Drosophila melanogaster: one gene and its partner. The protein of the gene in region 1 binds, or shares a complex with, the protein of each later gene. Each region holds a gene or a part of one and is shown on either strand. Other genes may lie near its edges.

Evidence for each region.
Region 2: eIF3a (region 1) and eIF3j share a complex: the UniProt entries of both Drosophila melanogaster proteins name them as parts of the eukaryotic translation initiation factor 3 (eIF-3) complex.

What each region holds. Positions count from the first base shown.
Region 1 is NT_033777.3:4,429,278-4,435,452, forward strand, and holds eIF3a (eukaryotic translation initiation factor 3 subunit a), read right to left. Parts: upstream 4,619-6,175; 5' UTR 4,471-4,618; coding exon 4,422-4,470; intron 4,325-4,421; coding exon 3,240-4,324; intron 3,190-3,239; coding exon 951-3,189; intron 892-950; coding exon 842-891; 3' UTR 521-841; downstream 1-520. Other genes in the region: CG1074 (uncharacterized protein), read left to right, coding at 4,784-4,909, 5,378-6,173. UniProt on the Drosophila melanogaster protein: RNA-binding component of the eukaryotic translation initiation factor 3 (eIF-3) complex, which is involved in protein synthesis of a specialized repertoire of mRNAs and, together with other initiation factors, stimulates binding of mRNA and methionyl-tRNAi to the 40S ribosome.
Region 2 is NT_033778.4:9,967,402-9,971,458, forward strand, and holds eIF3j (eukaryotic translation initiation factor 3 subunit j), read left to right. Parts: upstream 1-1,527; 5' UTR 1,528-1,818; coding exon 1,819-1,834; intron 1,835-2,059; coding exon 2,060-2,151; intron 2,152-2,339; coding exon 2,340-2,453; intron 2,454-2,517; coding exon 2,518-2,806; intron 2,807-2,870; coding exon 2,871-3,007; intron 3,008-3,072; coding exon 3,073-3,135; 3' UTR 3,136-3,496; downstream 3,497-4,057. Other genes in the region: CG12133 (uncharacterized protein), read left to right, coding at 1-411, 476-950; CG12134 (uncharacterized protein), read left to right, coding at 3,993-4,020. UniProt on the Drosophila melanogaster protein: Component of the eukaryotic translation initiation factor 3 (eIF-3) complex, which is involved in protein synthesis of a specialized repertoire of mRNAs and, together with other initiation factors, stimulates binding of mRNA and methionyl-tRNAi to the 40S ribosome.

The sequences.
Region 1 (6,175 bases):
CATTGTCCAAAATTTGTTCACGTGGACCGAGATTCGCGGCAGCGGCACAGACAGTGTGACCAGGGGCGCGCACCGCGGAGGATCCGCGAGGCCATGGCATTAGTGCCAAGTTCGCAAGAAAATACTAGTTGAGTGTGCGAAGAAGGCGCGGGCTCATATTATCGAGGCAAATTTTCAGAGGCAGAATATTTTTGTTTTGCTTGCTATAAAAGCTTTTCTAAATTTACTCGAATTTATTCCCAACGAATATGGTTTTACCTAAGAAAGATGTCACTTTTTTAAAATAAGTCAAGCGTATGTGATAATACAATTTACAATACTTTTGAATGCATTTTTTATTTATGGGCAATTAAAAAACCTAATGTTAAAAAGCCACGCTTCCAAGAACGAACTTTGTAAAACTATAGAAGAACCCGCATTTGTTTAGTTTGCAAACTACATTTTAATGTAGTTTTAGCTCTGTCGAAATATAAATTTAAAGGGACTGGTTTATAAATCACTGTACGTATAAGGGAAGCTTGGTTCATCCTGAAATCTGATAAATAAGAATTAGAATTTTTGAATTAAACCAATAATAACCACTTTTCATTTCTTTGATTCCCAAGGTTCTCATTCGACAATTTCACTTTTCAATTTTTTAGAACATAGTTATTTTATTCGAAAGTACTTTAATTAGTATCGGTCCTACAACCATCTCAATTTTAACTATCTGGCACAAGCTTTGGATAGATAGATATAATATACCGGCCGACTGAGCTCTACACCAATAAAGTACAAGTCGGATGAAATAAAAACTTATTAAGAATATTATGCTGGGTATATACGATGATGAAAATAAAAATTAACGACGCTTAACGCTGGTCCACTCGCCATCATCGCCAGCTTTGTTCTCTGAAAGATGTAACGCATTGATAAGAATGGAAATTAGGTTTGCTGCTGAGATTACTTACCCTTTTCCTGGGCTTGATCGCGCTTAGCTGCTGGTTTTTCCTCACGGGTCGCAGGAGCAGTACGCCAGTTTCCGCCTACTCCGCCACTGGCTGCCTCCTTAGGAGCAGAGCCGCGTTGATCGCCACGAGTCTCGCGCACATCTCGGTCGCGCCTCTCAGCTGGGCGACGGGTTTCCCGATCAGCGTGGCGTGGAGCGTCGCGCCAGTTCCCTCCAGTTTCCCGCTGAGGCTCGTCGGTACGACGCGCCCCGTCGGCGCGGCGGAATCCACCGCGCTCATCGTCACGATCCCGGCGAGGACCATCGTCACGGTCACGCCGAGGCCCATCATCCCTGTCGCGACGAGCCCCATCAATGCGGAAATCGCGGTCACGTTCTCCGCCACGCCGCCACTTGTCATCGCGCGATTGCGGAGCGCCACTGTCTTTGGGAGCAGCTGCACGCTGTGAATCTGGCTCTCGTCGCACACGCCAAGAGGAGTCCGCTCCCTCGTTGTCCTTGCGGTCACGGTCACCGCCTCGTTCAATGCGCTCTCCACCACGCTCGAGGCGTTCTCCACCGCGCTCGATCCGTTCTCCTCCGCGCTCGATACGCTCGCCACCACGGTCGTTGCGTTCACTGGCCGCAGGTGCAGCACGACGCCACTCGCTGGATCCGCCGTTAGATGCGCTTGGACGGTCACCGCCTCGAGGACGCCATGTGTCACGGTCCTTTTCAGTGCGTTCGCGCTCCGAGGCCAACTCCCTGGACAGGCGGTCTCGATCTTCCTTGATTTTACGCTCAGCTTCCTCCTCCTTGGCACGCTGCTTTTCGTATTGGGCACGACGCTTTTCGTCCTCAGCCTCACGCTCCAAACGGCGGGCTTCTGCTGCGGCGCGCTCTTCGGCAGCCTGTGCCAAGCGAATCTCTTCCTCCTTGCGAAGACGCTCCTCCTCTTTCTCGCGAAGGAAGGCCTGTCGGCGCTCCTCGCGGCGTCGAATAATGCGGTCGGCTAAGCGCTTTTTGCGCTCTGCCTCCAGAGCAGCCTCAAACTTTTTGAGCTTTTCGACGTAGAGGGAGGCACGTTCTTTTTTAAGGGCCTCAAGGAATTCATCCCGGTCCGGATACATGCGCTTGAGACGCTCCTGCTGGGCGACGGCATCCTTCCGTTCGGCAATGGCATTCTCGATGCGTGTCTTCTCGGTTGCTTCCCAGAACTCCTTGTCCTTAACCTGCTTTTCGGCCAAGTATTTTTCGAAAAGCGGTATCTCCTCCAGGCGCTTGGCGCGTTCGAAGTAGTCGATTTTCTTCTCTTGCGATTTGAGTTTCGACTGCAGTTCCTTGGCCTCGCGCTGAAGTTCCTCGCTTTCCCGCTTGGCGATCTGCTCGGCGTCCAACTTCTTAATGCCTTCCTCATCCAGCTTGGAAAGCATCTTCTTACCATGAGCCGTCTGCGAGATTTGCTGAACCTTCTCCTTGAGACTCTTCTCCCGGATGGCTTGGATTTCGTTCTGATGGCGCTTGCGCTCTCTTTCTTCTTGCTCCTGCTCGAGGCGCTTCTGTTCGGCCAGTTTGGCCTTCCGCGATTCCTCCTCCTGACGCCGCGCCTCTTCCTCTTCACGAGCATTATTCTGCTTCTCGATGTACTCCTTTCTGTCCTCGATGATCTTCTGTCGCTGAAGAATACGCTGGTGCTCGCGATCCTTGATCTCATGGTAATGGTTTACCATCTGGTTGCGGAGCTTGGCCCGCTGGTCACGTTCACGGTTCGGGTAGACGATTGAAACTGCCCGTGTCAGAACAGTAGACATATTAACCAACTGAGAGCGGATCTGTTCCGAGGGCATCGATTGCAAAGCGGGTCCGTCGGGGCGGTACTCGCGTTGACTCTCGGTCAGATCAGTGCCGAAATAGATACTGTTCTTCTGGTGGTCAATACGAATCTGCATGTCATTGTGACGCACGGACTCGACCAGCAGTTTTTCCAATTCAAAAATGTTGCAAAAACTGGCCAGCTGCAAGAGACGCTGGAACTTAATACTCTCATAAACCTGAGAGATCTGACGAATCAGACGCATTATAGTCACGTCCTTCAGCGATTGAATGTAAGGAGTGAGCAGAGCGTTTTCGGGCCCGTTCTCAATGAAGTCCACGATAGACTGAATGCGCTTGCACAGATTCAGTGGGTTGAAATCCACCTCCAACCAGTTGTATAGATTGCGAAAGTCCTCAGATACGAGTTGAGGAACATTCAAGCGCACCTGTGTTTATGAATTAGTCATAAGTCATTACTATATTGCGTGATACTTACCACTTCACGAATAAGGGAGACGCGAGTAGGTGGCTGGGGCAGGCCCAAAAGCACGGCCAACTTCTGCGCCTTCTCCAGGGGGCTCTTGTCCGCCTCAATAAACCTGTCGAACTCTGGATGGGCCGAAGGCAACGGAATAGAAAGAGTGGCCAGGAGAACGTGGGCAGCCATACGCTGCAAGTCGTCCTTCGTCAGGTTCTTCTTCAGCTCGCGCGTCAGCTGGAAGAGCTTCAGCAGCGCTGCAGCGTGGAACAACTGGTTGCCGGCCTTGCTAAAGACCATGGCTAATTTTTGGTAGTAGTTGGCCATGGTTTTGGGCACGGGTGTCTTCTTGGACAGAGCCATCAGGCCATGGATATCCTCGATTGCCTTGTAGGCCTCTTGCCACAGCTCCATCTGGATGGCCGAGTCAAGAAGGTACAACCTGGTGTCCAAGCAGAGCTGCTGCGTTTCCACCTTGTTGATCGAGACACCGGTGGTCTGGTTGCTGCTCTTGCAAATGTCCTCCAAGTGTTTGCGCAGCTTGTCGCACAAGCGGCGAAACTCGCTCTTGCGGTTGTACTTAAGGCAGAACTGGAAGGCCATGCGAGCGATATCGTGGTACAGCGCCTCGCAATGCGTGTTTACGCGCAGCAGCTCTAGACACTGGCAGTAGGACTCCCACAGGAACTTGACCCACGGGAGCAGAATAGTGCGGTCGGAGCGGTCCTGTGCGTCCTCGCCACACACTGCGCTCATTAGGATGCTCTCTGGCGTGGCAATGTTGTCCAGGTCATCCAGCTCCAGAACAGCAACGGCCGCCGAGGACTGGGCTTGGGCAGCCTCTGTGTGCTCTTCGGCCATTTTCAGGTAGCCGCGGATTACATTTTCCAGAGAGTTCACGTTCACCAGCTGGAACATGTTCCGGTACTGGAATAGTCCCTCCTTGGCGATGTGCGACTTCTTGAGTTCCACGCAGAGGTACAGGTACTTGAACATGAGCGGTTCGATGACCGTCTCCGAGTAGGCATAGTTCCATCGCTTGTTCCGGAAAACTTCCTGCAGCGTGTCCAGCGCCCTAAGCGGCTTTCCCACTTCAATGAACTCTGTGACGAAGAGAGCGGCGTCGAGTTAAGAGAGCACACGATTCGCGAAGACGAAAGTTTCTCTTCAGACACCGCATGGAAAATTTTCAGCACTCACCATTAGCCCTTTTTAGGGCGTTTTCCGGACGTTGCGTATAGCGGGCCATTTCCGATCGCTTTACTTACTTGCGGCGGCACTTCAAGTTGATTTTGATAGCAGGTCTGGAGCGTTTTGAGACCTGGGGCTGCTGAAAATTGTATAAATCTTCGGCTCGCCTACGTGTGGCTGCAATATTAATGCAAAATGGCCGAGTCGACGGCACGCAGGGCTACACCTGGCTGCGTTATCGATAGTTCAGGCCGATAGTTGCCGATGGTCAGCTAATCGCAGTGCAACTCCGCTAGCTCACAGCAATAACACGAGGAGTAATGAAGTCGCTCTAGAATATAAATAAACAATTCATTAATTAAAATAGCGACATGGTCAACTGGAGGAAGTTTATCTTGTGGTTCGCCCAGGAGCATGTCGACTTTCGCGTGCAGGAGTTTGATTCGCTGGTCAAAATGTTTGGACTTCAGGTCCGGCGGCTTACAGAACACACCAGGGTAAAGTGTTTTAGTACCAGAATTTTGAAAACGCAAGATTAACAAATTCCACCTCCCCTATAACTTTTAAAACCTGTGGTTTAATGTTATATCCAAACTTGGAATTTTATTAATATGTTTAATATTTTTAACGTAAAAAAATTTTATATGTATTTGTAAGAGGAAGAAAATAGTAAACTATATTTTCAAAAGTGTTTTCAACAGGTAGAAATTTAGCATTACTAGCTATAAATTATATACGATCGTTGAGATCTCAGGAACTACAAAACCTAAAAGGTTTCGAAAGGATACCTGATACCTGGTATACATACATTACGAATACGATCCGCGTACCTGTTAGATGTTTTTAGTGTAGGATACTTTGATTACATTATTTTTAGAGCTTGCGACACATATATAAATACTTCTGTAGTATAGAAGCATCAGCATATATAGTTATATTTATATTTTTTAATTTCGGTATTACAGAAACCATTTTGGTTGGTCGAATTTCGGGACACGGATACTGCGTTGCTATATGCATCCAGGTCCGTTTCGTTGCGCGCCATGTTCGAGCTCTACGCCCACTCCAACAAATTACCCGAGTTTCACCAGAGGCTACGGAATCATGTTACCGCGAACTGGCATTCGCTTGCGGAATACTTTCGGGTGGATGCCAGTTTTAAGATCGTTGTGGAGACCTACAACAAGCACTTCAGCCAGAGGGAAAAGGTTGAGAAAATCGAGTCCATGGATTACCTGCCAATAGAGGGAACGGTCAATCTGGAGAAACCCGTGGTGGAGTGGTGGTACATCGAGTTTTGGGGCTTGGATCCAACGGCTGTGCCACCTGAGCCGGAGGACATTCTGTTTGGTCGGCTGATGGCCCATGGTCAGCGGCATTTGATCAAGGAGCTTTCGCTGAAGCATCGTAAGTTTATCGGTAACACCAGCATGGACGCCCAGCTGAGCCTGCTAATGGCCAACCAAGCGATGGTACGCAATGGGGATCTGGTATTTGATCCGTTTGTGGGAACGGGCTCGCTTTTGGTAAGCGCCGCCAAGTGGGGCGGGTATGTCCTGGGAGCGGACATAGACTACATGATGGTGCACGCCCGCTGCCGGCCGAGCCGGATAACCCAAAAAGTGCGGGAGAAGGACGAGAGCATTCGGGCCAACTTGAAGCAGTACGGCTGCGCTGATCGCTACATGGATGTGGTGGTGGCCGATTTCTCCAACCCGGTGTGGCATTCCCGCATCTCGTTCGACTGCATAATAACAGATCGT
Region 2 (4,057 bases), on another chromosome or scaffold:
ACTACCAGATAGCAGGGTCTGCGGACAGAGTCCTCCTTCGTCATATATCGTAGGCGGCATGGAGGCACAGTCCAACCAGTTTCCCTGGACAGTCCTGCTGGGTTACGAAGCCTACACAGCAAAGCAGCGACCGTCTCCCATGTGTGCGGGCTCCTTGATCGCCAGTCGCTATGTGCTGACGGCAGCCCATTGTTTGAATGTGAATGACTTCTACGTGGCACGTGTGCGCCTGGGCGAGCATGACACCGAGAACGATCCCGACTACACCTGGCTGCCGAATGGAGCCAAGATATGGGCTCCAGCGCACGTGGACATCGATGTGGATCTGAGGGTTCCGCACGAGCAGTACTACACGAGAAATGGAAGACACTACAACGACATTGCTCTGTTGCGTCTGAAGAGTCGGGTGAAGTAAGTAGTGTGCTCTTTGGGGTTCCCTCTTTTCACATTTTCCCATCGATGTCCTCTCTTTCAGATACACTCTTCAGATCAGACCCATTTGCATTTGGCCTGGCATTGAATTGTCAACTTCCTCCTTCAAAAACTTCCCTTTTCAAATTGCCGGCTGGGGCGATTCGGGTCTGCAGCAAAAAAGCACCGTACTTCGCCAAGGCACCATCAGTGGAATGAGTCCGGATGAATGCTTGAATCGGTATCCAACACTGCTCGTCGATAAGGACATCCAGATATGTGCCATGGGATGGGATGGCACCGACACCGGACTGGGAGATTCCGGTAGCCCGCTGATGGCTTCGGTGGGCAGGGGTGCTGATCAATTTTATTACCTAGCCGGAATAACGTCCTACGGAGGGGGACCCTCCAGTTACGGATATGGGCCAGCGGTTTACACGAAAACTTCCTCATATTATGAGTGGATAAAGAAGAAAATCAATGATATCGCTGAAGATGAACGTAAAATGAAATACAAATCTGTAAGAATACCAATTTAATTTAACGTTATTAAAATGATACTTTTTATGCATGCAGAAATGGATGTTGTTCTTTGTTAACAAAATCGCCAAAACAGTCAAGTAAAGAAAGTACACAATTATCTTTAAAACCGTTCTTGGGACAAAAAGCCACATTTAACATGATTATGTTAAAAACAGATGTAACCATTGAGAATTGCAGACGTTTGACATAATTCACATTTTGCAAACAAATCCAGATCTTAACTAGACCAATTCTAACTCCAATAAGGATGACTTAGCCTCTCAATCGAAAGAATTCCTCGACTATAAGATAGCCTTAGTCAGCAATTGGGGAGTTCGAGGTATATAACGACACAGCTAGTTCTTCTTATCAAGAACATGCTTATGTATGTATATACTCTCTACTATATATAATTTATCGAGTCGAATCAATTTTCCTTATAACTCTAAGAGTAAGTTTCTTAGAACACCACGAAGAGGGAGATTTATCACGAATTTTTTTTGAAAAAAACTTGTAGGGTAACTCAAATCTTTAAAAACTTAAAGATTTCTTAACAAAGTTGACAAATTTGTGTTTGAAAATAAAATAAGCAATCTTACAATCAAGAAAGGAAAAAAATGAAAAATGAAATATTGTAGGGTAACAAATTTCAAATTGTCGATAACTTGATATCACCTTGGCCGCACTACGAATATTCGATGGCAACAGACTATCGGCGACGTTACCCACGCATTTTCCGCTAGTCGCGCCTTGGGCACACTACAGATCCACAGAAATTTGGTTTTGGAAAATTCCTGAAATCGCTGCCGAGGCTGGAAACAAGTCGATCCCAGCACCATCCCATCCAGAAGCACAAATCCCGCAAGCAAATAGGCAACCATTAACATGGCCGACGATTGGGGTAAGTTGCGATTGGCCTGGGCGGAAGAGTGGGCGGTGCGTCATCTGCACGGCGGACAATAAACGTGGTCTCCGTCGTTGTTGTTGTTGTTGCTGCTGCTATTGCTGTTGTTGTTGGAGTGCCGTGCAACCAGCCTTGATGAGTATTTTTAGCCACTGTGCCAACTAACCGTTTGAAATCATTGTTATTCACCATGTTCCTGGAACTCATTCTGTTACCTGGCAGAATCCGCAGCAGACAGCGAGGTGGTCATCCGGCCGACTGCCGCCGCCAGCGTAAACAAGTGGGAGGGCGAGGACGAGGATGAGGACATCAAGGTGCGACTAACGAAATCCAAGTGAGATCGAAAGCAGTGCCGCATTCAAACCAACTATCCAAGTGCCCAACAACAAATGCCATGGGCCAAAACTTGTTTTTCTGCACTCGGTTTCACTTTCGTTTCGCTGTACACGTGTGCACTTTTGCAGCAGACTGATCGAATCATTTGTTTATTTGCTGCCCACAGGACAGCTGGGAGGATGAGGAGGAAAAAAAGGACGAGGAGAAGCCTACGAAAACAGAAGCACCAGCCAAACCGAAGCCAAATAAGGCGCTAAAAGCCAAACTGGAACAGCAGGCGGTGAGATAAGGCTCAAAAGCATTTCTCAATCATTGGCTATATTGTTATCATCTGTTATTAACAGCTCCTAGAGGAGGAAGCGGAGGCAAAACGTTTGGCCAACCTATCGCCTGCAGAAAAGTTGGCTGAGAAGCTGCGATTGCAAAAAATCCAGGAGGCCTCTGATCTCAAGCATGCCCAGGAAGCGTTCGGTGTGACGAGTACGTGCGGAGGTCTTGACGCCTTCAACCCCGAGACCAAGGAGGAGTTCAAGGAATTTGGCGCAACGCTCAGCTGGAAGGTGGGCCAATTCCGCGAGTCGGAGCACTTCCCCCAATTTGTTGAGGATCTGGTGCGCAGCCTATGCGTGAATCGTGAGTGATTAGCTGGCTGACAATTAAAGACGGCTTATCTGATTTGATTTCGCACCTTATCTAGTGAGCGCTGCTGACATCAAAAAGGTCAAGATGAACGTGGAAATCTTGCACTCGGAAAAGCTGAAGCTGGAAAAGGCCAATGCTAAAAAGCCCGCTGGAAAGGGCAAGGGCAAGGTCACTCTCCGCACCGAAAACGACGTGAGTGTTTCAATCGCCGCCGTTCGAGATCAACGAATGAACTTATTTAATCCGCTCTTTTGCAGGACATTGACGGTTACCAAAAGTACGGAAATGACTTCACCGAAGACTATGACGACTTCATGTGAATAGGATCTATAAATGTAGCCCGCATATATCTAATTATTGAATGCATAGTTGCTTGTTGAAGAGTTCTTCTTGTTAGAGATGCTGCGCAGGAATAAGAGTCCTTTGTTAAATATAAAATGGCAGAACCTATATAAATATGTAAATATATATTTATATAACCATACATAACACAAAACGAGTTACATAGTCAAGTCAGGCAATCAAGAAACCTCAACGAACACGCAAATCCAACTCCAAACCGAAAGAATATTTAGGCAACTGACTTATGGCGACAGCACATGTATGTAGGTCGTATTCGGAACGGCTTCTTGTGAAATTCATTTTTGTATAAAGAATAAAACTACAGATCGATATTAAACGAAAACAAAGAAATCTTGCTTATTGTGCTGTATGGGTGGGTGTGTGGTACGGGTGTACAAGTATGATGGTGGAACTGTTGATGATTGACAATTGAGTTAATTATAGGTAGCCGCTTTTATCTTACCATTACCATGAACTTTTCAAAGGAACCATAATTTTTAATTTATTTAAAACGATCACAATGCGCGCCGTAATTTGAAGGCGCTTCACTGTGAACGGCTTTGTTTGCATAGCCAAGAAGAAGCATCGCAAGGTGTGGTGTGTGACTTGGCTTCAAAATCATATTATTGAAGTAGTTAAAAATAAATTCAGTTGTCGAATAAGTGGATTTCGTCATAAAAGAAAGAGTGCTGACGCATTTGAAGTGCACTCTTATCCCTTTCAACTCGTCTATTAAGTATTCAATGTGTCTTCAGCCCAAGTTAGCTTAAATCTAGCTGAATAGTCAGCACTGTCGTCATTTAATGCACGTGCGGCAAATTAAAAATAGACAAGAATGAGCGACTTTAACAAATATTGCGAAGGTTTTATTAGCTATAAGCCTGCCAAGACGGCCTGATT